3 linked regions of the Elephas maximus indicus genome follow. The main gene of each other region encodes a partner of the protein of the gene in region 2 in a complex. Links are inferred from orthologs where the notes say so. Each region holds a gene or a part of one and is shown on either strand. Other genes may lie near its edges.

The links. The genes of interacting proteins can lie anywhere in the genome.
Region 1: the proteins of CNNM3 (region 2) and PTP4A2 are in contact, whole or in part, in a crystal structure (PDB 5K25), measured with the Homo sapiens proteins. The link is inferred for Elephas maximus indicus from reciprocal best matches to the Homo sapiens genes CNNM3 and PTP4A2. Residues at the interface, in NP_060093.3 of Homo sapiens: Leu390, His391, Phe392, Val393, Phe394, Asp396, Thr397, Glu405, Ala414, Gln417, Val419, Glu424, Gly425, Asp426, Pro427, Phe428, Tyr429; in NP_001356788.1 of Homo sapiens: Met1, Asn2, Arg3, Pro4, Asp69, Gly70, Cys101, Ala103, Leu105, Gly106, Arg107, Arg134, Arg135, Gly136, Ala137, Phe138, Asn139, Lys141, Gln142.
Region 3: the proteins of CNNM3 (region 2) and PTP4A3 are in contact, whole or in part, in a crystal structure (PDB 5TSR), measured with the Homo sapiens proteins. The link is inferred for Elephas maximus indicus from reciprocal best matches to the Homo sapiens genes CNNM3 and PTP4A3. Residues at the interface, in NP_060093.3 of Homo sapiens: Ser357, Asn358, Phe394, Asp396, Lys418, Val419, Asn421, Glu424, Gly425, Asp426, Pro427, Phe428, Tyr429; in NP_001425170.1 of Homo sapiens: Asn5, Pro7, Asp72, Gly73, Ala74, Val105, Ala106, Leu108, Gly109, Arg110, Arg137, Arg138, Gly139, Ala140, Ile141, Asn142, Lys144, Gln145.

The regions. Positions count from the first base shown.
Region 1 is NC_064821.1:72,868,118-72,876,079, reverse strand, and holds the start of PTP4A2 (protein tyrosine phosphatase type IVA 2), read left to right. Parts: upstream 1-4,900; 5' UTR 4,901-5,498; coding exon 5,499-5,594; intron 5,595-7,752; coding exon 7,753-7,845; intron 7,846-7,962.
Region 2 is NC_064835.1:88,301,963-88,309,618, reverse strand, and holds the start of CNNM3 (metal transporter CNNM3), read left to right. Parts: upstream 1-4,641; 5' UTR 4,642-4,648; coding exon 4,649-5,882; intron 5,883-7,656. UniProt on the Homo sapiens protein: Probable metal transporter.
Region 3 is NC_064833.1:3,362,033-3,369,860, forward strand, and holds the start of PTP4A3 (protein tyrosine phosphatase type IVA 3), read right to left. Parts: upstream 3,063-7,828; 5' UTR 2,980-3,062; intron 1-2,979. UniProt on the Homo sapiens protein: Protein tyrosine phosphatase which stimulates progression from G1 into S phase during mitosis. Enhances cell proliferation, cell motility and invasive activity, and promotes cancer metastasis.

The DNA of each region.
Region 1 (7,962 bases), on a different chromosome or scaffold from region 2:
CACCTCATAACCTTTGCTACAGTTAATCCTTCTGTCTAGAGTGTTCTTCCCTCAGATATCTACTTGGCTCACACCCCTAGGTCTTGCATAAAATGTCACCTTTTTTTTTTTCTTTCCAGTGAGGCCTTTCCTGATCACCTGTTTAAAATTGGAATCTCCCTCCTTTCTGGCACTGTTGATTCTCCTACTTTGCGTTTTTCTCCATAGCAGTGGCATATTTTATTTATTTGTTCCCACCGAAATGAGATAAGAATTGTTTTTTTTGTTTACTGCTCTTGCTGCACCTATAAGAATGCATGACATGTAGTATATATCCAGTAAATATTTGTTGAATTAGTAAATTCTTAACTAGCCAGATAGCGTAGAACATGTCTAGTTCTTCATGAAGATAAGTTCTTTACAGTTGATAGATAATTCATACTTATTTTAAGGGGAAGCGCCTGTTTCTTCACTGAAGTGAATTTGTTTTAGGAAAAAATGGTTGCAAAGTTTTAGTTTTATATACAATATGCTTTTATGTTGCCTGATTGTAGAAACCAAGCTGACTCAAATTTGCAAGACTTCCTGTAGAATTTCTGGTAAGAAAGCAACACAGTAAATGTATGCTTACTTGCTCTTTAGACTTTACTTTTAGATTTTACTTCCTTAGATTTAGAATTCTTTCACTGTGTGTTTATACTATAATGTGACTTTAATTTGAAAATATAAAGAGGGGATTTCTCAGTGGACGACTGAATGGGGCAGATTGATAGGATGTTTAAAAGGATGCCCAGTAAGATTGGGTTCCATTAAATGGAGCTACGTTATGTAGAAAGTTCCCTCACACCCTTGAATTCTCTGTTTTTATATTTGAACTTAGAATTATAGTAGCCAATGCAGGATGTAAATTTTACTCAGTTATTTCGTAGGCATAACAAAGAAAACAACTATCTTTCTGGAATGGTTTAGATATGGGCCTGCCTAGGGCAGAGGTACTAGCCCTCTTGAGGCTCTTTCTAATCCCATGATTATAGCACTGTTGAGAAAGTAGTTAAGTTACACAGGCAAGTCTCCTGGTTACAAACGAGATCTGTTCCTAAGTGTGTCTTCAAGTTGCATTTGTAGATAAGTCAGAACAGGTGCATATGGTTCTTATTTAGCCTCCTTTTAGTGCAAGAAAGGCTAGAAGCCTTTTCAGTGATCTAAAAGCTCCACTTGCAGCAAGTGAAGGTGATCATGATGAAAAATTTGTTGTGAGCAGGTTTGGTTCAGTCCTTTCAAAGTGAGGGCAAATTTATATAACATTAAAGGGCATGCATTAAGTGTAAGTCAGATGTTTGTAACCCGAGGACTTACTGTAAATCATTGCAGGGTTCTTTATCATCCTTTTTCATAAAAATTAAAAGTAAGATAATATGTGTACTTGGAAAAAAATGAAAAAGATTCGAAAGGTAAGCTAAATCATGCTCCTGACCTCTAGCCCTCCAGCTCAGCACCCCACCACTGCTATTAGTCTTTGTAATCTTCCAGATAGTCCATGTTTTTGAAAAATATATACAGTACTCACAAATATTTCTATAAAACTATTCGAATTGTTCTGCGCCTTGCTGTTTTTGCTTATTGGTGCCTTTAGTCATGTTTCCATATCAGTTCATATAGATCTGTTTTATTATTTTTAACCTCTGTGTATTTTCCACTTTAAGAATATTCTATAATAAAATAAATGATGGCTATTGTTTCATGCATTTTGACTTTTATGTAGGTAGATGTTAGCAGTAGAATATTAACACTGGACTTGCAACTGTTTCTAACATGCTGTTAGGTGCTGCCTAGTCGATGCCGGCTCAGTGACCATAAAGGACAGGGTAGAACTGGCCATAGGGTTTCCTAGCCTGTAATCTTTATGGGAGCAGATCACCAGGTCTTCTTTCCTGCAGAGCTTGCTGGTGGGTTAGAACCACTGACCTTTCAGTTAGCAGCCAAGTGCTTAACCATTGCACCACCAGGGCTCCTTGTTTCTAACACAGCCCTCTGCAAAGTTTTAAGTAGTCTCTGTTGTGTCATTGACTTAGTTTTACTGGCAGTGCACTATCTCAGTTTCATAGGCTGCTCAGTTGCTTTTCTTCCAGCTCTCCCTTTCTTCCTTCCCTCTATCCTGTCCCTTCCTTTTAATTTAAAAGGATTTGTCTGTCACAGACCATCCTTTCTAATCAGCGAAGTTATATTCTTTAGTTAAAAATCATTGGCTCGGAAATGGAAATATCCCCAATTCAACATTTTTAAAGTTAGATTCTGTAAAAGATAAAAAAGGTGGAGAGTACATTTGGATGCATATTTGAATTTGACTGCTGTTAGATGTTAAGTAAACTAGCCTCTTCTATCACCTAGTATATTAAAACAAAATTTTATTTTTACTTAAGTAGGTAGAGCAGAGTTAATACCAGACAGAAAACTTCAGAAGAATTTCCTCTAGGTGTACAGGTGCTGAGCTTACACTAAAACGTAGGGCTCTGCAACTTTTGAGTGCCTTCCAGCTGTGGTTGGTTGTTTATGACTTTTTACAGTCTGTTTGCTTTGCGTTCTTATGAGTGCCAAGGGAGTTAACATTAGTTTATCTGAATTGACAGGTGCATAGAATTTAACTGTTGATGCATAGTTGAACCCTTGGTGGGGGGGCGGGGAAGGGAACAGAAGCTTGCTTTTATTGTGTATCTGTTAGCATTGATAGAACATACTGTTTCCTTTGGCACAAATTTCTGGGGATCTCAGTATGGTGTTAAGAATTGAAAATGTGATAGTGAATTACCATCCCTGGAAGTAGTCTTCCAAAGTGAGTTCGGAGGAATAAAATGGGATAAACCTTGGCTCTGTTTGCTGAGTAGACAAACATTGGAGACTAGGTAGAAAACTTAATGCTAGAGCCATAACCTTTTAAGCCTGGCGATTACTACAATGCGGCTCTGTCAGTGCATTTCCTCAGCTGACATGTATTAGCTCTGATAACACCATTGAACCAAAGGGATTCAACCAGGTTAGAATTTCCTTGTGTTTTGCTCTGCACTGCATGCAGACCCTTGTTCTTTGAGTAGTTACTTTTATAATCTTCCCCCATTATAAGGTCACAGAGTTGCAGATGAACATGCAAAGAAATATTTGAAGAAAAGTTACACTTGCATGAAAAAGATTGGGTATCCTGGTACCTCCGTTAGTCTAAATTGAAGGAGAAATGAATAGGAAGTCAGGAGACCTGAGTTCTTGATCTGCTACTTAATTAGCAGTGTGATCTTAAGTAAGTCGTTTTAACCTCTCTGAACCCCGAATATCTTCATTTTTTTAAGAAAAAGAGGGTCAGAGTAATGGAGCTCTAATTTTCTCCTAGCTCTTAATAAAATTCCTTGACTGTGCAAGGAGTACACTATGAAATATTTTTCTTGCATAATCTAGGTGGCTTTGTTTGGGGTTACAGTTATCAGTTAAGAATGGTGGTGTGTATACTTTTGTTTTCTTAGTTTGAGTATAGTGTTTTTATAGTACTGGATAACACATTCTGCGGAGATTAATGGAAGTTCTCGGAATGCCATTTTGAATTGCTTGTGTATCTTTCATATTTTAGGAATGTTTTAGTTTTATATTTGTATCCATAGTAATATAATCACAAGTATGTGACTTATGAAATAAAATACCATAAGAATACCATAAAAAGAAGAATTGCAGGTATAAGAATAAGCTTGAAAGTTTGGAGGCCTAGGTTCTTTCTTATCGATCTCTATCTCAGTTTCTTCCTGAAAATGGTTCTGTAGTCATTCTTTTTCACGCCTTTTTCTATCTGACCACCTTCCTCTTTTTTAGAGACTTAAATAAGCATGTATTGGTGGCTCGGTGAAGAGGCAAGTGAAAGAACTAGACCTTGTCCAGGTTTTCAGAGGAATTTATGATTATGTTGACACTCTGACTGAGACAGCTATAAAGATTACTATGTTTTAAAGCAGCAGGCCTAAAATAATATTAAAAATTTTGGCACTTGTCTTTTCTTGCCTCGTTTTTTGTAGGAATTAATATTTGGGGAAGAGGAAAGCTGTGTGAGTCAGTGACCTTTCGATGCTTTTGTATTCCTAAGGCAGTGATGTGAGAAATAGTAAAAACCTTAACTGAACAAAAAACAAAAAGGTGGGATTTATACAATAGTTGAGTCAGTAGGCATTATGGTACATTGGAAAGAACACTGGATTAACAGAAACTTGTGTTTTTTTTTTTGTGTGTGTGTTTGAATTTAGGTTCAACTAATCCATTGTGTGACCATAGACAAGTCATTTCACTTCTCTGACCCTCTTCCTCATTTCTCATGGGTAGTAACATCTACTCAGAATTGTAAGGAAACGTAGATAATATTTTGGAAGTACGTTGTGAACTCACATCATAATTGGGGGCCAGCGTATATACTTTGAATAGAAAGAATTTTCAATCCTTGGAGGAGAATTTTGGTAAATAGCCTTTACCTATTCATAGATACACCATATGTAAGTAAAGAGTGTTATGAGAAAGTTCTTACCATTAAAGCAGAAAAACAAGGAGATCGTTGGGCACTTTATGAATAGAGTCCATGGAAGGAAGGCTTCTTTAAGTTACTGGCCTTAATCATTTAAAAATGACTTGAATTAGAAATATCTTACCATCCCAGGAACTTTGTTGAGTCCAGTTTTGAAGAAAAAAAAAAAAAAACCAGACACACTTGATTTTCGAATCTCTGATTTTTGAAAACTCTTTACATAGTTCTTAGATGGCAGAATTTAGACTTGGTCATGTTTCAGACGTCTACACTTAGAACAAATGCGTTCTTTACTTCTGGCATTGTGTTTACTATGCTGTCAACCTCCAGTTCATTTTACTTATGCTTCCCTCCCCTCCCCCCAGGTTTTTCGTTGGAATATACGCTGCACATTTATGGCGATTCTGAGTGTGAGGGCAGACTTCTGCCAGGCTCAGCACAGCATTTTCGCTGACAAGTGAGCTTGGGGGTTCTATGTGCCATAATTAACCTTGCCTTGAAGACTCCGGACACCGAGACTGGCCTCAGAAATAGTTGGCCTTTTTTTTTTTTTTTTTTTGTTAATTGCAAGCATATTTCTTTTAATGACTCCAGTAAAATTAAGCTTCAAGTAAACAAAGGTGGAAAGCGACCTACACTTTTAACTTGTCTCACTAGTGCCTAAATGTAGTAAAGGCTGCTTAAGTTTTGTATGTAGTTGGATTTTTTTGGAGTCCGAAGGTATCCATCTACAGTCATTGTGGCCCAAGTTGAATTTGGATTCGAGTGGATTCTAAATACTTCTGCTTATCTGGAAGAGAGAAGCTTCTTAAGGAATAAACAAGTTGAATAGAGAAAACACTGATCGATAATAGGCATTCTAGTGGTCTTTTTGATGTTTTCTGCTGTGAAACATTTCAAGATTTATTGATTTTTTTTTTTCATTTCCCCCATCACACTCACACACACGCACGCTCACTTTTTATTTGCCATAATGAACCGTCCAGCCCCTGTGGAGATCTCCTATGAGAACATGCGTTTTCTGATAACTCACAACCCTACCAATGCTACCCTCAACAAGTTCACAGAGGTAAGATTGTAGCATGGTCTACCTTTTAAATTGATTTATTGGTTAAAATCTCATTAAAAATTAATGCCATTATAAAGAAATCTGGAGCCCTGGTGGCACAGTGGTTAGGAGCTTGGCTGCAGTTCGAATCTACCAGTCGCTCCTCAGGAACCACATGGGGCAGTTCTGATCTGTCCTGTAGGGTCACACTGAGTTGGAATCGACTCAACCACAACAGGTTTTATAAAGAAATCTCATATTACAAAGCCATTTACTTTGGTGATTGGCATGTGGATGGTTATATTAACAATCCTTGGTTGAACTGGGTTGAATTTGTAGCAGCGGATTTTTAAAAGAAGAGCATTTTTAGAATTTTGCAGAATTTTAGAGATTATTTATGAGTCAGAATCGACTCGACAGCAACGGGTTTTGTGGTTTTAGAGATTAGTACCATATTTTTTCTTGTATCCTTTCTACATTTGTCAGCAGTTCTTTTGTCATACTTTCAAATAATAAAAATAACATTTATTGAATACTTAGTATGTATCAGGTAGTATGTATTGTAATTAATTTTATGCATTGTATCATTTATTCTCACAATAACCCTATGAAATATAGGTACCATTATTCTCTCCCTCTTATAGATGACGAAACTGAACTTCAGAACAATTTAGTAATTTGCCTAAAGGTGCACAGTAAGTGAAAGAACAGGGATACTTAACTGGTCTCAGACGTTGAAGCCCGTGTCCTACCCCAGATATTCTAATTGCCTTGGTAAAGAGCCATCCCAAAACTATGTAGCAACAGTAATCATCATATATACGGCTGAGAAAACTTGAGGAATGAAAAGGTGTTAGGTAGCATTTTTTATTTGATTTCTTTTGCTTTATCTATGGAGTAAACTTAGAGGTGGGCTTCTAAGCCCATCCCTCTCATTTTACAGATGAAATGAAAGAGGTTTTGATTTGCTTAAGGTCATGAATACTTACCATGAAAAATTCTACCATAACCTTTCAATGAATAGTTACTATGGAGTTCATTTTAATGGAATTTTTAGTGGCATTTTGAAACCTGTTTTTAAAATTCCTGACTCAATATAATACTTAAACTTTCCTGAGTGTCTAGTATAAGGAGGCTTTTCTGTGAAAGGTCCTTTAGCAATTAAAATAACTTTACTGTTAGATAACTAAATGGTGGACACTTGCAGGGATATCACTGTTCCTGCTTATTTATACCTGTAATTCCTTAAGCTTCTTAACTTTGTGTACACAGTGTGCAAGTTGACTCCAGGCCTGTATGCCCTCAGGTTGTTCAGTCACCTTTAAGCCTGCCTGAATTATGGGATACTATTTTCAGCTTCTGGATTCCTTGGCTATAGACTCCAAAAGTGGCAGAGGCCACTGTCCTGCAACTATAAAAAGATGTTGGTGGCCCTGTAGAAAGGGTTTTAAGGGAGCAAGGCTTCTGGCTATAATTGTGTTAGCTAGCTTTTTAATATAATACCATTTTTTTCCTTTCAATTTCAAAACTACTTTTATTGTTTCTTTAAGAAATTATTAAGTGCTTATTACATAAAAATCAGAAGATACAGATTAGCAAAAAGACAATTTAAAAACACCTGACTCTTTATACCTGGCTTCCAGGTGTTTTTCTGTGCATATACGTGTGTATTTATAAGTAAGCGTATAAACAGGATCACACTGTATGTTAAAAAAAATCATCTCCCCAACCTCTCTAGGATTTTTTAAATAGCCATTATAGTATTCTGCTGTATGGATGTACCATAATTTACTTAATCATTCCCCTGATTTTGGACAATGTTGTTTTCACTTTTTTGCCATTCTAAACAGCTGTGGTGAATATGCTGGCACCTGAATTTTTATGTATATCTTTAATTATTTGATTAGTGTAAAGTCCCAGAATTGGAATTTCTAGAGCAAAGTATATATGCACTTTTAAAGTTTTGTGTTACACTCTCAGTTTGCCCTGTAGAAACGTGAGTCTTCTTCATAATCCCATGGACAGTGCATACATGTCTTTTGCTGAAATGAGAATTATTATTTTGATCTTTGTCTATTTAATAGGATAAGAATGATATCTTGTTTCAATTTATAATGGTAATTTCTGAAGCTCTGGTTGCAGATTCCAAAAGCAAGTCCCTTTGTTTTTCTTTATAAAGGAACTTAAGAAGTATGGAGTGACAACTTTGGTTCGAGTTTGTGATGCTACGTATGATAAAGCTCCAGTTGAAAAAGAAGGAATCCACGTTCTAGTGAGTGTGTAATGTTTTAATTTTTCACCTCAAACAAGTTGTACCTTTCAAACATAAAAGCGAATTTATTAATTTTGACTTTTAAGCTTATTATAATAGGAGATGGTGTTCATGGCA
Region 2 (7,656 bases):
GAGCAACGCAGAGCTGTGTTTCTGAGCGCGCTCAGCACAGGTGAGCAATGCAAAACTGGGCGTTCGCACAGGTGAGCAAACACATGGCCTGAACTCTGTGTGTGTGTGAAGCAAAAGGAGTAGTACACACACGTCTACAGCTACCTCTTTGCACACACAGTTCCTACCAACGGATGGTCCTTCCCTCCCCCTCCTGCCCGTGTAGAATCAGTTCTTACAGAGGGTCATAATTATTTCCAAATATTACTAGTCTGGTGACTTCCTCCTCCCAGTGGTTTTTCACTTTTTATTCCACCTCCAGTTCCTGGGCTGAGCCGTACCCTGGAACTGGCCCACCCCCCCCATGTCTTCCCAGGGAAGGGGGACCTTTGCAAATGGCATCCACGTGGGTAGGCAGGTCACAGCCACCGTAGCAAATAACTCATATTTATTTTGCGTAAGATTTTAATTTGTATATTTTTGTGATTTTTTTTTTTGGCAGTTATGAGTTTGACTCTCGGGGAGTTTTGTTGTTGAGTCTTGTGTCTTTTGTCACAAAACAATGATAATATTTGGTAAACAATATATGGAATTTATTTTTGATTGGTAATAAAAAACAAAATATGTATAAATCTTGGCAAGTCTACAGTTTGCCTGTTTGAGCTCTGTCTGTGTTCAGTATCTGTAATAGAGACAGAAGTGGCCGTGGTTGAGAGGTGGCTTCTTAACATAGGTACATGTAGCAGGACAAGGAACAAGTATCCTGGGACCATCTCACAGTAAAACGTTGGCAAGCAAAAATGGAATTTATAAAAAAATAGGTGTAATCCACAGAATGAGGGCTTACCCCTCTCTGACCTAAACTGAAGGGCACACTTGTTCTGTGTCCAGGCTGTGGCTTTACCCCAGCACCTGGTATGCACGCTGGGTGCTTTTGCTGTGAGACACGGTCATCTCTCAGAAAGTGATCCCCAGCTGGGCAGGGCTCCATGTTTCGATGTGCTTGGATTCTACACTATAAAGCCATCCTGAAAGTATTATGCTACTAAGCAAACAACGTGGAGGGTGTATATATATATATATATATATATATGGAGCCCTGGTGGTGTAGTGGTAAAGAGCTTGGCTACTAACCAAAAGGTTGGCAGTTCAAATCGCTGCTCCTCGGAAACCCAGCGGAGCAGCTGTACTCTTGTCCTATAGGTTCCCTCTGAGTTGGAATCGACAGCAGCAGATTTGGTTTTGTTCGGGTAAACCCCTACTGTATACCAGGTGCCACCAACTCCTTGGTGAGTTTACCACATAGTGAGGAAGACAGTCACACAAGGGCCTTTCAGCTTGCTGTTTCTTCCACCTGGAACACTTTCCCCCAGGTCTTTGTGAGGCTCATCTCCTTACTTCCCTTAAACCTTTGTTCAGATATCACCTCCTTTTAGAGGGCCTCCCAGATTACCCTGCCTAAACCAGCATCGCCCCAATCTGTCTCCGTAGCTTGCCTTGCTTTTTTCCATAGCACTTATTACTAGATATTAAAGGACAGATTTGTGTATTTTCTGCTGCCCGCACACTAGAATCTGAGTTCCACAAGGGCAGGGACTTTATATTCCCACCTTTAGAACAGTACCTGATACAGTGCAGTCACTTAGGAATGAATCAATCAATAGGTCTTAAGGTAAGTACTAGGGATGGGGAGCACATAGCACCCATAACTTCGACCCAACCTAGTCAAGATGAAGAAAGACCATCTGAAGGAAGTGGATTTGAGCTAAGACTTGAGAAGAGCAAGAGTTAGCCAGTGAAGTCGCACATAATAGGTATGGGTTTAAAACTCAAGAATAAATATTTAGGTAAAACTTGGAAATGTCCTGATCCAAACGGCCAGTAAGAAAAATGGCCCAGGAAGGGCCAATGAGGGCACTGGAGGTCAAGTCGCAAATGTCTCCACTGTGACTAACCAGGCGTGGGGCGAATGGCACAGAGCCAAGGGAGAGGCTGGTGAAGTACTGAGGCCTCTATTATAAACAGAAAACCACCCTGCGAACAGCATTGCTTGCACTGTACTAGATTCTTTGTCTTTGCATAGTGACAGCGTAAATGGCTGTTTGTGTTTTCCAAGTTTGATCCCGTTGTTCTGGTCAAAGGTTTTCCCCCAAAACAGGCTGTTTTTCAAGGGACCCTGAGGCCAAGGAAACAGTAACTTGTCAAAGGTCAGAGCCCCCTCTCCAAATTCAGAGAGTTTTCTCTGTCTGCCCTCTAGAACTGTTCCTTCATTAATGACTTTTCAATCATGTGACTCATTTGAGGTTCCACTTTTGTGTCATTTTATCTTGACTTGGAGATTGGAAAGTATGAGCTGAAGGGGTTGAATCCATTATAATGGACTCCCCCCCCCTTAAAAGGAACGGTGACAATCCAGTGGGAAACGTCAGCAGTGTCATCATTACTTCTGCCGGCAGGGGCTTCTCCTGTCACCTGCAGGAGTGAAGCAAACTGCTCAGCGCGGCTTATCGCCCTCTGGAGAAGACTAGCTGAAGAATGCGGAGATGCGGCTGGCCTGGTCCTGGCTCTGAGCCCACGATGCAGAAGAGACATTACTACCAGCTTTTAAAAAGCTTTTCACAAAATATTTTTTTCCTGTGGTCAGTCAAAGTTACACCACAGGCCTATTTTTGCACGTTATCGTTGGTTGCCATGGAGTTGGTCCTTACTCATGGCAACTCCGCGCAGCGGAGTAGGACTGCGCCAGAGGGTTTTCAAGGCCGTGGCCTCTCAGAAGGAGACTGCCAGACCTGTCTTCTGAGGCATCTCTGGGTAGGTTCAAACCACTAACCTTTTGGCTCGTTGTTGTTAGGTGCCATCAAGTCGATCCTGACTCATAGCGACCCTGTGTACCACAGACTGAAACACTGCCTGGTCCTGCGCCATCCTCATCCTCATAATTGCCGCTATATCCGAGCCCACTGTTGCCCTCACGATCATTGTTATGCTTCGGCCTGTTGTTGCAGCCACTGTGTCAATCCGTCTCATTGAGGGCCTTCCTCTTTTTTGCTGATCCTCAACTTTACCAAGCGTGATGTCCTTTACCAGGGAGACAAAGTGTGACCATCCTTGCTTCTAAGGAGCCTTCTGGCCGTACTTCTTCCAAGACAGATCTGTTCGTTCTTCTGGCAGTCCATGGTATATTCAATATTCTTCACCAACGCCACAATTCAAAGGCTTCAATTCTCCAGTCTCTGGCTAGTAGTCAAGCACTTTACCGTTTGTACCACCCGAGGACTTTTTTGTTTTGGCACATTACCTTCTACAAAAACACCTTTTACATGATTGTGGCCACAGTGCTTTTAAAATATCCTGTTATTTTTATGATACTGCAAATGCGTTTCTATAGGATGCTTTTGAAAGATCATTTTAAACAACATGTATGTCCTGGTAAATGACATGTAATCTTCTCAAAGGCTACTTACACTAGGAAACACAAAAGTGCATAAAAGTATCAAGAAAAACACAAAAGTCCTTTATTGTGGACCCTTGGAGAGAAGCCTTGTTGGCAGTTCTATTTCCTCCCAGTCGTGTACAGACCATTTATAACGAGTAAGGAACGCTCTACACTGTCAGTGGACCATACTGTCACGAAGTGACCACAGTGAGGGCCCTCTTGAATAGATCTTGGTCGCGAGGAATCATTTCCCAAGGACGAGTTGCTAGAAGTGGAGTTAGCAGACCCCACATCCACGCCGAGTCTTTGTGAGCTTCGCTTTTCTCCTGTAAAATGTTAGCAGTATGAAGCAGCTGTGAGGATCCAGTGACTTGTGTCTGCAAACTAACACAAGCTCCCTGAAGGCAGGGACTAGGTCTGACCTCCCCAGACCTACAGCAGAGTCGCGGCAGCGGACAAACACGCCCAGAACCTGAACGTCCCCTTGCCCAGTCACTACCGGGGGCGCTGTGGTGAAGAGCTCGGCTGCTAACCCCAAGTCGGTAGTTGGAATCCACCAGCCGCTCCTTGGGAACCCCGTGGGGCGGTCCCACTCTGCCCTACAGGATCCCCGAGTCGCTCAGTGGGTTGAGTAACTCCGGGTTGGTGGCTGCTTCCCAGGAGACCTGCACGTCCCCGGTGTTTAAGTCTCTGCCCGCAGCTTCATGTGGGGTCCGACCCAGAGGCCGCCCGCGCCGCCCCGCGAGGCCCGAGCCGGGGCTGCCCAGAGCGCGAGCCTCCGGGAGACGGCCACGGCGACGGCCGGCGGGGACGCAGCGCCCCCACCAGGCGGCCCCGAGGACGCGGACGTTCGACGCCCCGCGCGGCCCTGCCCGCTGCCCCCGCCTCGCGCGGCCCTGCCCGCTCCCCACGTCCCGCGCGGCCCTGCCCGCTGTCCCCGCCTCGCGCGGCCCTGCCCGCTGCCCACGTTCCGAGCCCCGCGCGGCCCTGCCCGCTGCCCCCGCCTCGCGCGGCCCTGCCCGCTGCCCACGTCCCGCGCGGCCCTGCCCGCAACCCCGCCGCCCAGGCCCGGCGCCCGCACCTTGTTTACTCGCCGGCGCAGCCTAGTCCGACCGGGGCCCGCCCCCGCTCGCCGCCCATTGGTGGAGGCGGCGCGGCGGCAGGCGGCGATTGGCCCGGGCGGCGGCGGCGCGGGGCGAGCGGGATAGGCTGCGCGAGAGCGGGCGGCGGGCGATGGCGGCGGCGGCGGCGGCGGCGGGTGGGCTCGGCTGGCTCTTGGCCGCGCTCTGCCTGGGCAGCGCCGCCGGGGAGGCCACGCCGGGCCCGCAGGTGCTGCGCTTCTGCCTGGAGGAGGACGCGGCCGAGGGCGCGGGGCGGACGCGAGCGGGGGCGGCGGGGGCCGCGCCCGAGGCCACCTTCCGCCTGCGCCTCTTCGGCCCGGGCTTCGCCAACGGCTCCTGGTCCTGGGTGGCCCCCGAGGCGGCCGGCTGCGGCCGGCCGGGCGCGGCGTCCGAGCGCGGCGTCCGGGCGGGCGAGTGGCGCGCGCTGCTGCGCCTGCGCGCCGAGTCCGTGCGCCCGCACTCGTCGCTGCTGGCCGTGCGCGTGGAGCCGGGCGGCGCGGCGGCCGAGGAGGCGGTGCCGCCCTGGGCGCTGGGGCTGGGGGCGGCCGCGCTGCTGGCGCTGGCGGCGCTGGCGCGGGGCCTGCAGCTGAGCGCGCTGGCGCTGGCGCCGGCCGAGGTGCAGGTGCTGCGCGAGAGCGGCTCGGAGGCGGAGCGCGCGGCGGCGCGGCGGCTGGAGCCCGCGCGGCGCTGGGCCGGCTGCGTCCTGGGCGCGCTGCTGCTGCTGGCCAGCCTGGCGCAGGCGGCGCTGGCGGTGCTGCTGTACCGCGCGGCCGGCCAGCGCGCGGTGCCCGCCGTGCTGGGGAGCGCGGGGCTCGTGTTCCTGGTGGGCGAGGTGGTGCCGGCCGCCGTGAGCGGGCGCTGGGCGCTGGCGCTGGCGCCGCGCGCGCTGGGCCTCAGCCGCCTGGCGGTGCTGCTCACGCTGCCGGTGGCGCTGCCGGTGGGCCAGCTGCTGGAGCTGGCGGCGCGGCCCGGGCGGCTGCGCGAGCGCGTCCTGGAGCTGGCGCGCGGCGGCGGCGACCCCTACAGCGACCTCAGCAAGGGCGTGCTGCGCTGCCGGACGGTGGAGGACGTGCTCACGCCGCTCGAGGACTGCTTCATGCTGGACGCCAGCGCCGTGCTGGACTTCGGAGTCCTGGCCAGCATCATGCAGAGCGGCCACACGCGCATCCCGGTGTACGAGGAGGAGCGCTCCAACATCGTGGACATGCTCTACCTCAAGGACTTGGCCTTCGTGGACCCCGAAGACTGCACGCCGCTCAGCACCATCACCCGGTTCTACAACCACCCACTCCACTTCGTGTTCAACGACACCAAGCTGGACGCCGTCCTGGAGGAGTTCAAGCGAGGTAACTGCTGGAGAATCGCGAGGGGACGCGAGTGCCTTCCCCTGGAAGAGGTGCAGGAGCTTTATGGAACCCTCCAGGAAAGGGTCCCACTCCTGCGGAGGGCAGTGAGACCTCCGAGGGCCCTTTTAAAGAAGGTGATGAACGACCTTTGGGGCGGGGGTATGTCCCCTTGGTGTAAGTCTCCAGCTCCTTCCCCGTCCCAGGCCTTTTCTCTGAGCTTTGGACTTTGTGGCAGGTCCAAACCCTTGAATAGAAACTTAAAGAACATAGTTTCCAGAGACCTAGATGCCGTTATCTGCACTCAGGTAATATCAAGTTAGCGTGACCTGTGGTGTTTCCAGGACATTGTTAGGTCGTTGATTGGCTCCTGCCTCCCAGATTCCAGAAAAGGGAATAACCTATAAATACTTTCTTACAAGTGTGAAAGAAGTTTTTCTTTTGATTTCACCAAAAGCAACTAAACGGGTGATGATTTAATTTTCTCTCCCCATCTACACCCCCCCCCCCCCGTTTTCTAACCTCCCCTTTTGTAATTCTGGGAGCCCTGGTTGCCCAGTGGTTAAAAACTCAGCTGTTAACCAAAAGGTTGGCAGTTCAAATCCACCAGGCACCCCTTGGAAGCCCTATGGGACAGTTCTACTCTGTCCAATAGGGTTGCTATGAGTCAGAATCAACTCATGGCAACGGTTTTTTCTGACTTGGAGTAAAGTCTCTCAAGTTCTCCTTTAATTCCACATCCTCGTCTCTTTCTTTTCACTCTGATTTATCTGAGCACCTCTTAAGGTTGAAGGTCAAAGCTGTAAGCCCCTCTGGTGTGAGTGTGTGGGCTCCTCTGTTGTCCTCCCAGTGTTGGGCTTGGGGTGCTCCCCAGAGCTTGGCACTCTCCTTGGCCACCAGACGTGCTTCTCACGCCTCAGCTCCCGCAGGATGGTGGTGGGGGCACCCCAAGACTCTAGTTGGGCTTGGCCCTGAAGGCTACTTAATGTCAGGCGGAGGAGCCCGCTGAGCCCTGTGATGTTTCTGGCAGCTGTGAAGTCTTGCCCCAGGCTGGCAGGGGAGCTGTTCTCTGAGCACCTTGACGGCCAGGTCAGGAAAGCAAGTCTTTGCAGTGATGACGTTGCCGCTGCATTGAACGCCGCTGTACGCGGCACTAATGGAGGCTCCGTCGTCGCTTTTAATCCTTGGAAGAGCTGGGTGTCGAGTAGTTGGGCAGTTACTGTTATTACTGCCGTGGAGACAGGTGGGCAGCTCTGATTGGTCTGCTGAAGAGAACCCCTCAGATGCTCCTGGCTGTTTCCCCAGGAAGTGGCCATGCAGCACTTCTGTGGGGCAGGGGAGCCCGGAGTAAGGGCCTCTTGGTGGTGAGTAACCTGTCTGGGCCACCATGGTCCCCCAGGCACCGGTGGTTCCTGTGGCGTGGTGGCCACCAGAGCTGGGCCTGGAGTCAGAGTTGGGTGGGCTCCGTCCTGCCCCTGCTGCCTCCCAGCTTGAGACCCTGGGAAGGCTGCTCATGGTCCAGGGCCTCATCTGTTAACGGTACCCAAACCAAAACCAAACCCACTGCTGTCGAGTCGATTCTGACTCATAGCGACCCGGGAGGACAGAGTAGAACTGCCCCATAGGATTTCCAAGGCTGTGGTCCTAACGGAAACATACTATCACATCTTTCTCCCACAGAGCGGCTGGTGGGTTCGAACTGCCAGCCTTTTGGTTAGCGGCTGAGCACTCAACCAGTGTGACACCAGGGCTCTTTTGCTAATGATAAGAGCTGGGA
Region 3 (7,828 bases), on a different chromosome or scaffold from region 2:
GCCTGCCAGGTGGACATACCACAGCTGCCAGTTTACAGGGGCAAACACTGAGCAGGCGAGACGTGAAGTGACCGGAAAGACGCAGAGCCGGGCCCTCATGACAGCAAGCCTGTGCTCCAGCCTGGCCTCGCCCTGCTGCATCTGTGGACAGAGGGGTGCTGGGGACCAGAGCAGGCAGGTGACAGTGAGGGCAGTGGCGTGGAGGTGGGGAGGGCCCACCGGTGCAGGGCCTGGCAGGAAGCAACATGCACCCGGCAGCTGGGAAGGCTTCCTGTAGGAGGTGGCCCGGCCAGGCCCAGCGCACAGCATGTGGCAGAGGTGAGAAACCACGGTGCATCACCTGGTGGAGGCCTGTGGTTTGGCTTCAGGCCTTCGGGTAACCAAGGCAAGGCCCAGGTCTTGGGGGCTGTTATGGATTGAATTGTATCCCCCCCAAAATGTGTGTCAAATTGGCTAAGCCATGATTCTCAGTATTGTGTGATAGTACACCACTTTGTGATCTGATGTGATTTTCCTTTGTGTTTTAAATCCTACCTCCGAGATGTTAATGAGGCAGAATTAGAGGCAGTCATGTTAACGAGGCAGGACTCAATCTACAAGGTTAGGTTTGATCTTGAGTCAACCTCTTTTGAGATATAAAAGAGAAAGGCGAGTAGAAAGAGGGGACCTCACACCACCAAGAACGAAGAAGCAGGAGGGGAGTGCATCCTTTGGACCTGGGGTCCCTGTGCTGAGTAGCTCCTAGACTGGGGGAAGATTGGTGACAAGGACCTTCCCCCAGAGCTGACAGAGGGAGAAAACCTCCTGGAGCTGACGCCCTGAATTCAGACTTCTAGCCTCCAAAGAGAATAAATTTCTCTTTGTTGAAGCCATCCACTTGTGGTATTCCTGTCACAGCAGCACTAAGTGACCAAGACAGGGGAGTAACCGCAGGTCTCTGCCGCCTCCAGACCCGGCAGCTCCCTCTTTGCTCCTCTGGCAAAATGCCACATGGACCCCACTTAAGTGGCCTTTCCACTTAACAGGCCCTTTTGCCAGGGCCTGCTGCCTAGTGAGACGGAGTCCCCAACTGCACAGAAGGCCCCAAGGAAGTCAGTACACTCACCGACACACTGCCCACCACTCCGCTGCCATCCCAGTGGGGGGGGGGGGAGGTGACGGGGTCCACATGCGCATCTCGTCCCAGCTCCAGGGGCAGCAAAGGCAGCGTGGGAGTACTCACACCACGGAGAGCGGCAAAACCACAAGCCAGGGTTCCATTCAACATTTACCAGCAAGCCCCTGCCCAGTGCCCTGACCTCACTTTCAAGCCCACCCAGGCTTGGTGACTCCAGGTTCCATCGCCCTCTTGCTGAGAGGCCACCAATCCAGCTCTCCTCCACCCACAAGCCCCTGCTGCTGACTTGCATGGGCAGCTACCCATAGCCAGGCCCTGAGCTGGCACTGAGGAGACATAGGGACCAGCTGAGGCCCCCAGCCACGTCCCCACAGCCAGGGGAGGTATCCTGGAGGAGGGCGTGTGTGAGGAGGGGTCAGCAAGTGAGGAACCAGGCTGAAGGGCACAGCTCATCCCTGCCTGCACCGTCTCCCAGCACACTGTCCACAGCCTGTCCCACCCCTGCCTGCCCCCCCCCACCTGCACTTTCTCCCGGCACACTGTCCATGGCCTGTCCTACCCCTGCCTGCCCCACCCCACTAGCAGGTGAGCTCCGGAGGGGTGGGCCCCATCGCCCACCTTCAAGTCCAGCACCAGAGTGAATGCTTGGCAAGCATCGGGGGTAGCCAGCTCCCCAAGGGTCTATTTGAGGGAGCAGCCTGGGAATTCCCACATGGCCGGAACACCTGTCCTGAGGCCTCCCATCAAACCTGCTGCTAGTGGAGTAAAGCATAGCATCTACACAGAGCTGCCAGGTGGTCTCAGTTTGGGCCAGATCACAGGTGCTCTGTGTGCCTCTGACCCCCAACTGCCAGCTGGCCCCCTAACAGCTCACTGAGGGCTGTCTTGGCGGCCGTCTCCAGCCTAGAAGCAGGGCGTACCCGGAGTCTGCACACCACACCAACACCCAGCACTGCCATCATGTGCAGAGCTGACCCAGAGTCCACAGGCCAGGGAAGGAGGGGTGGTGTGCATCTGTGTGCCAGGGCTCAGGACACCCAGCACACCACAATGGCTGGACCCTGTACCAGCCCTTAGACCCCACATCACAGAGCTGCCAAGCAGGCTCACTCAACAGCCAGGCTGCGGGCCTGCAGGGTCACATGTTGGGCTCAGGAGAGGACAGGCCAGGGGGATGCCACCCTAACCCCAACCCTGCCAGTTGTGTGTTGGGAGTCACCTGTCTAATCCCTGGGGCCCCTGGGACAAAGCCTTGGACCTGGTTCTGCAGCCAGGGTACTGCATGAAGAGGCAAGGCTTTGCCTGAATGCCCAGCACGTGTGCAGGTCTGAGCCAGGTCTGGAACCTCGGTCCGTGGGACCTGGAACTGGGCTGCCTCAGACATTCACTTCCTGCCCGGCAGGGAAGCCTTGCGGGTTCTGACTGGCAGGCGTGCTGGTGCCAGGTCTCCCCACAAAGTGCAGAGATGGAACTGAGCCGGGGGCAGAACTAGCCAGACCCTGGACGGGCGTTGAAACCAAAAAAAACCCACTGCCGTCGAGTCGATTCCGACTCACACGGGCGTTAGAGAAGATAAACTCAGGGTACAGAGCGGGGTCTCCCCGCGGGCCAGGGCGCCCCTGGGCCGCCTTCCCGGCTCAGCCCTGCACGTGACAGCCGACAGCCGTGCTCCGGGCGCAGGGCCTCCAGCGCCAGGGTGAGCCGGCCAGGAGGGAGGGACCGGCGGACCGAAGGACTGACGGAGGCGGCGGCCCTCCCGCCTGCGCGGCCCCGAGGCCGTGCCCAGAGCCGGCCCGCGCGCCGACGGCCCCGCGCGCCGCACAAAGCGCCGGCCCCGCCCCGAGCGGCGCGGGGACACTGACCTGGTCCGGGCGGCGGCGCCGGCGCAGCGGGCGAGGGCTCGGGACGCGCGCACACGGCCCCGTGCGCCCACGACTGAGCCGCGCGAGCGCGCAAAGGCGCGGCCCCGGCTCTGGGCGCACCGCACCGCCAGGTCACGTGGGGGGCGCGGCCCAATGGGAACGCTCTCCACCTTTGCGGTCGTGCGCGCGTCCGGTGGGAGCAGACGGGGACCGGCTGCTGGGGGCTGACGCAGGGTCTGACCGTGGCCGTGGCCGTGGCCGTGGCCCTGGCAGGCCGGTCGAGGCGTGGGGCCCGGGGCCGGCGGGAACCCCGAGTGAGGATGAGGAAGGCGGGCGCGCGAAAGGGTTGAGGGCGGAGTCCGGAGGCCAGGCGCCCACGAGACTTCTGGGGTCCTCAGTTTCCCCATCTCCCCCAGGGGAGCTGGGCCCCCGCCCCTCCGGGAGGGCTTGTCGCGGGGATGGGCCCGGGTAGCACTCTCCTGGCCGATTGGTTCAAGCCCCAGTCCCCTCCGTTGAGCGGGTATACAGGGCGGGGCTGCCTGAGCACCCGTGTGTCCAGAGCGGACCCACCAGACCCGCACCCAATGGGATTCCGAAATGACAGCTGTCCCTGTAACTGAGACACAGATCCTGGTGGGCAGGGAGGCCGGTGTAGCGGGGTCCACCTCCGAGCCTCAGCAGCCTCCACTCCTCTGTGACACGGGGTGCCCAGGAGGAGGGGTTTCAGCCACCAGCTGCCTGCTGTGCCGGGGGGTACCTTCTGGACCAGCCTTCCCGGGGAGGCTCATGGCTCGGGTTAGAGAAGAAAGGCTGGTGGCACGTGCAGGGGCCCAGGACAGGGGCAGAGAGGTGGGCCTGTTGGGTCCCTGGGGAGTCTCATCCTGCCCAACCAAATGGCCTGCCCCTCCCCTCAGGCTGGCAGCCTGCCCAGGCCCTGTCTCCACTCCCCTAGGGAGCATGCCCCTCCACCCATCCACCCTCAGCTGCTGCACTGACCCCTCGAAGGCAAGAGTGGAATGCACCCTCTTCTGCATAAAGTCCTGCAGGGCCACCTCGCCAGGTGAGGCCAGAGCCCTCGCTGGTCCCCAAGGCTGCCTGGCCTGGCGGGTGCTCCACACCCCTCCCTCCACCACCACCCCCTCCCCAGCTTGCTGCCGCAGCCTCGCTCACCTTCACATTCCTCCAAATTCTTGGGATCGTTCCCACCTGAGGGCCTTTGCATGGGCTGTTTCCTTTGCCTGGAAACTCTTGCCCAGACTGTCCCCCCAGTGCCATCCCTCCATCACATTGCTGTCAATCACGGCCTCCCCTGAGAGCTCAGCCGCTGCTGGCAGCCCCCCTCTCAGCCCATCTGCTGGGCAGTTACACACACCACTGACCTTTGACTGACAGGGACCTCACCTGGCTTATCCCAGCTGTGCCCATAGTGCCAGGACCAGCTTCTGGCACACAGATGGGTGGCTGCAGGTGGGTGGTGCCCAGGAGCTCCATGCTTCCTCCCAACAAGGCAGCTGGCGGCAGCGGGCAGGGCTTTGCAGAGCTGGGCTGTGTCAGAGGAGGCACAGAGGCGCTAGGCAACTTCCAAAGGCCACACAGCAAGTCGGGAGTAGAGCTGGCTCCAGGGCTCCCACACTGAGCCACAAAGCCAGCCAGGCCTGTCTGTGCATGTCCAAGCAGAGGTGGATAGGAAGCCTGTGCTGTTAGTCCAGGCACATGTGGAGTCCTAGGAAAGAAAAATCCTCCACTTAAATGCCCCCACTGTTGGTGAGCTCAGCACCTCTAAGGCAGCCCACTTTATTGTGGGACTTTGGGTCCACTCTAATTATTTTTTTTAATGTTTAGCTTAAACTCGGCTGCAGCACCTAAGCATCCCCCCCCCAACCCAGACATACATATCATGCTGTCCCACAAAATCTCAGGGCGACCTGTATCCCAATGCCCTGTGCCGTGGGGCAGTGTTCTGTCCTTCCCCATGGGCTGCACAAGGCTGGGCTATCTTCCAGCTCTGTGTTCCAGGTGTCCCGCAGGTGTGGGGAGCGAAGGAGGAGTCAATAGCTGCTTCTGGATCAATCCACTCCTCAGACACTGACTGTGTGCTGACCACATGCTGGGGCGTCCCCCCACTGCCCTTGGGAGCCCACCCCGCCCCCAGCTGAGAAAGGACAGCTAGCCCCATTCTGCAGGGCAGGATTCGAACCCAGGTCTGGTGAGCCTGAGCCCGCAGCTCTGCGAATGGAACAGGTGGGGCAAGGAGGGTGGAGAAGAACGGTGATTTCACCTTGGGGAGGGCCGGCTTGGCCGTGATCTCCTCGCGCTACAGAGGAGAAATGGGAGGGGGAATGGGGTGATAGCTGATCGACGAAGAGGTGGAGTGGAATCCAGCCCTTGTCTGCTGATTCCAGACTCCAGAATCCTCCCTGGGACTGAGGAAGATTCCACAGAAAGGGTCCCTTCCCCAACTACCCCCCAGTCAGCGGACCTCCCCCCCAGCACTGAAAGCGTGGCGGAGAGGAGGCCCAAGCTGGGGGCGCTGGAGGAGGCCCAGGTAAAGGATTAGAGCTGGACCGCAGGATTAGCAGATTAGTGCCAAGGAGGACAAAGACAAGGTCAGTGCTAAGTGGATTCCCAGAATGTGGTGGCCAGCTGAGAAGGCTGGCCCCAGACCCTGACCCCAGACCCGGCAGGGCCCCCAGAGGAGGGGCCAGCCCCCAGCACAGGGGTGGACCCCTGTCAGTGGGCCACCTGCTTTAACTCCTCGTTGCCTCAGCTCCTTCACATGTAAATGGAGTCAGAGTCAGGTGCCTACCTCCTAGGGCTGTTGAGAACATAGAAGGAGACAGTGCCTGTCAAGGGCCCGGTCAGATGGTGCCTGTCAAGGGCCTGGTTAGTCCTGCTGGCACAGAGCCAACACTCAGGAAACCCTCCTTAGGACTCTCCTTCCAGAATTCTCCTCCAGTCCTGAAGGTCAAGAACAGGCAAAAGAAAAGAATAGCTTATCGGTTAATGTAAAGTCAATGTACTGGGTTGACTACCAAAAAAAACCCAAACCTACTGCCAATTCCAGCTCATAGCGACCCTATAGAATAGGGTAGAACTGCCCCACAGGGTTTTCAAGGAGCAGCTGGTGAATTCAAACGGCCGACCTTTTTGTTTGCAGCCGAGCTCCTAACCACTGCGTCACCAGGCCCCCACTGGGTTGACTAGTGTCCCCTGAAATCCATGTCCACCCAGAATCTGGGAATGTGACCTTATTTGAAAATAGGGTCTTTGCAGATGTAATCAGGTTGAGATGAGGTCATACTAGATTTTAAAAAACCAGTTGCCTCATACTAGAGGAATCCCGGCGGTCGTGGTCCCCAAACCTTCTGTTGGCCCAGGACAGGAACCATTCCCGAAGACAACTTATCAGACATGAAAGGGATTGGACAGTGGGTAGGAGAGAGATGCTGATGAAGAGTGAGCTATTTGTATCAGGTGGACACTTGAGACTGTGTTGGCATCTCCTGTCTGGAGTGGGGATGGGAGGATAGAGAGAGTTGGAAGCTGGCAAAATTGTCACGAAAGGAGAGACTGAAAGGGCTGACTCATTAGGGGGAGAGCAAGTGGGAGTACGGAGTAAGGTGTATATAAACTTGTATGTGACAGTCTGACTTGATTTGTAAATGTTCACTTGAAGCTCAATAAAAGTTAATAAAAAAAAAAAAAAAACCAGTTGCCGTCGAGTTGATTCCAGCTCATAGTGACCCTAGAGGACAGAGTAGAACTGCCCCGTAGGGTTTCCAAGGAGTGGCTGGTGGATTCCAACTGCCGACCTTTTGGTTAGCAGCCAAGTTATTAAGCACTATGCCACCAGGGCTCCCATATTAGATCAGGGAGGCCATAATCCAGTGACTGGGGTCTTTATAAGAAGAGAGACAATGAGAGACAGAGAGAGAAGGCCATGTGAAGACAGAGCAGAGATTGGAGCGATGTGGCTACAAGCCAAGTAACGCCAAGGATCACCGACAGCCACCAGAAGCTGGGAGTGAGGCCTGGAACAGATCCTCCCTCAGAACCTCCAGGAGGAGCCAATCCAGCTGGCACCCCGACTGTGGACTTCTGGCCTCAGAACTGCGAGAGGATAAATTTCTGTTGTTTTAATCCTCCTTGTGTGTGGTTCTTAGCTAGGAAACTAGTACATTCAGAGAAGAAAAAAAAAATCTGGGTACAAGAGTTTGCGTATAGAATGCAGACAGTAACCATGGGGCTGGACGCCCCTGGTGGCTGCTTAACGTCCCTCAGACCTCCAATTTCGGCTGCAGCTGCAGTGGCCCATTCAAGTGAGCTCAGACCCTGCTTGTGTGGACAGTGCCTCCCCCCTTCTCCCCACATTCTCCCACCTCTCTCTGCTTTCTGCATAAGAACCCCAAAGGGCAGAGGAGTTACCATCCCCAGGACAGGCTTCACAAGTGGAGGAAAGGAGTCTATGAATATACCCCAGCCTCCCACCCTTCAGAGGACCATCCTGGGAGCAACCAGACACTTCTGCCTGTACCAGAGACCTTGCTAACCCAGTTGCTCAGAGCTCAGTGTGGGACCAGGATCAGGGCTCAGTGCGGGACCAGGGTCAGGGCTCAGCGCGGTACCAGGGTCAGGGCTGTGTGGGACCAGGGTCAGGGCTCAGTGTGAAATCAGGGTCAGGGCTCTGTGTGAAATCAGGGTCAGGCTCGGCTCAGCATGGGGTCAGGGTCAGGACTCTGTGACCAGGATCAGGGTTCAGAGTGTGACCAGGATTGGGGGGAAGGGGGGCAACAGGAGGGGTCAGCATAGACTACGTGGTCAGGGTGCTCAGGTCCCAGGTAAGAGCTGG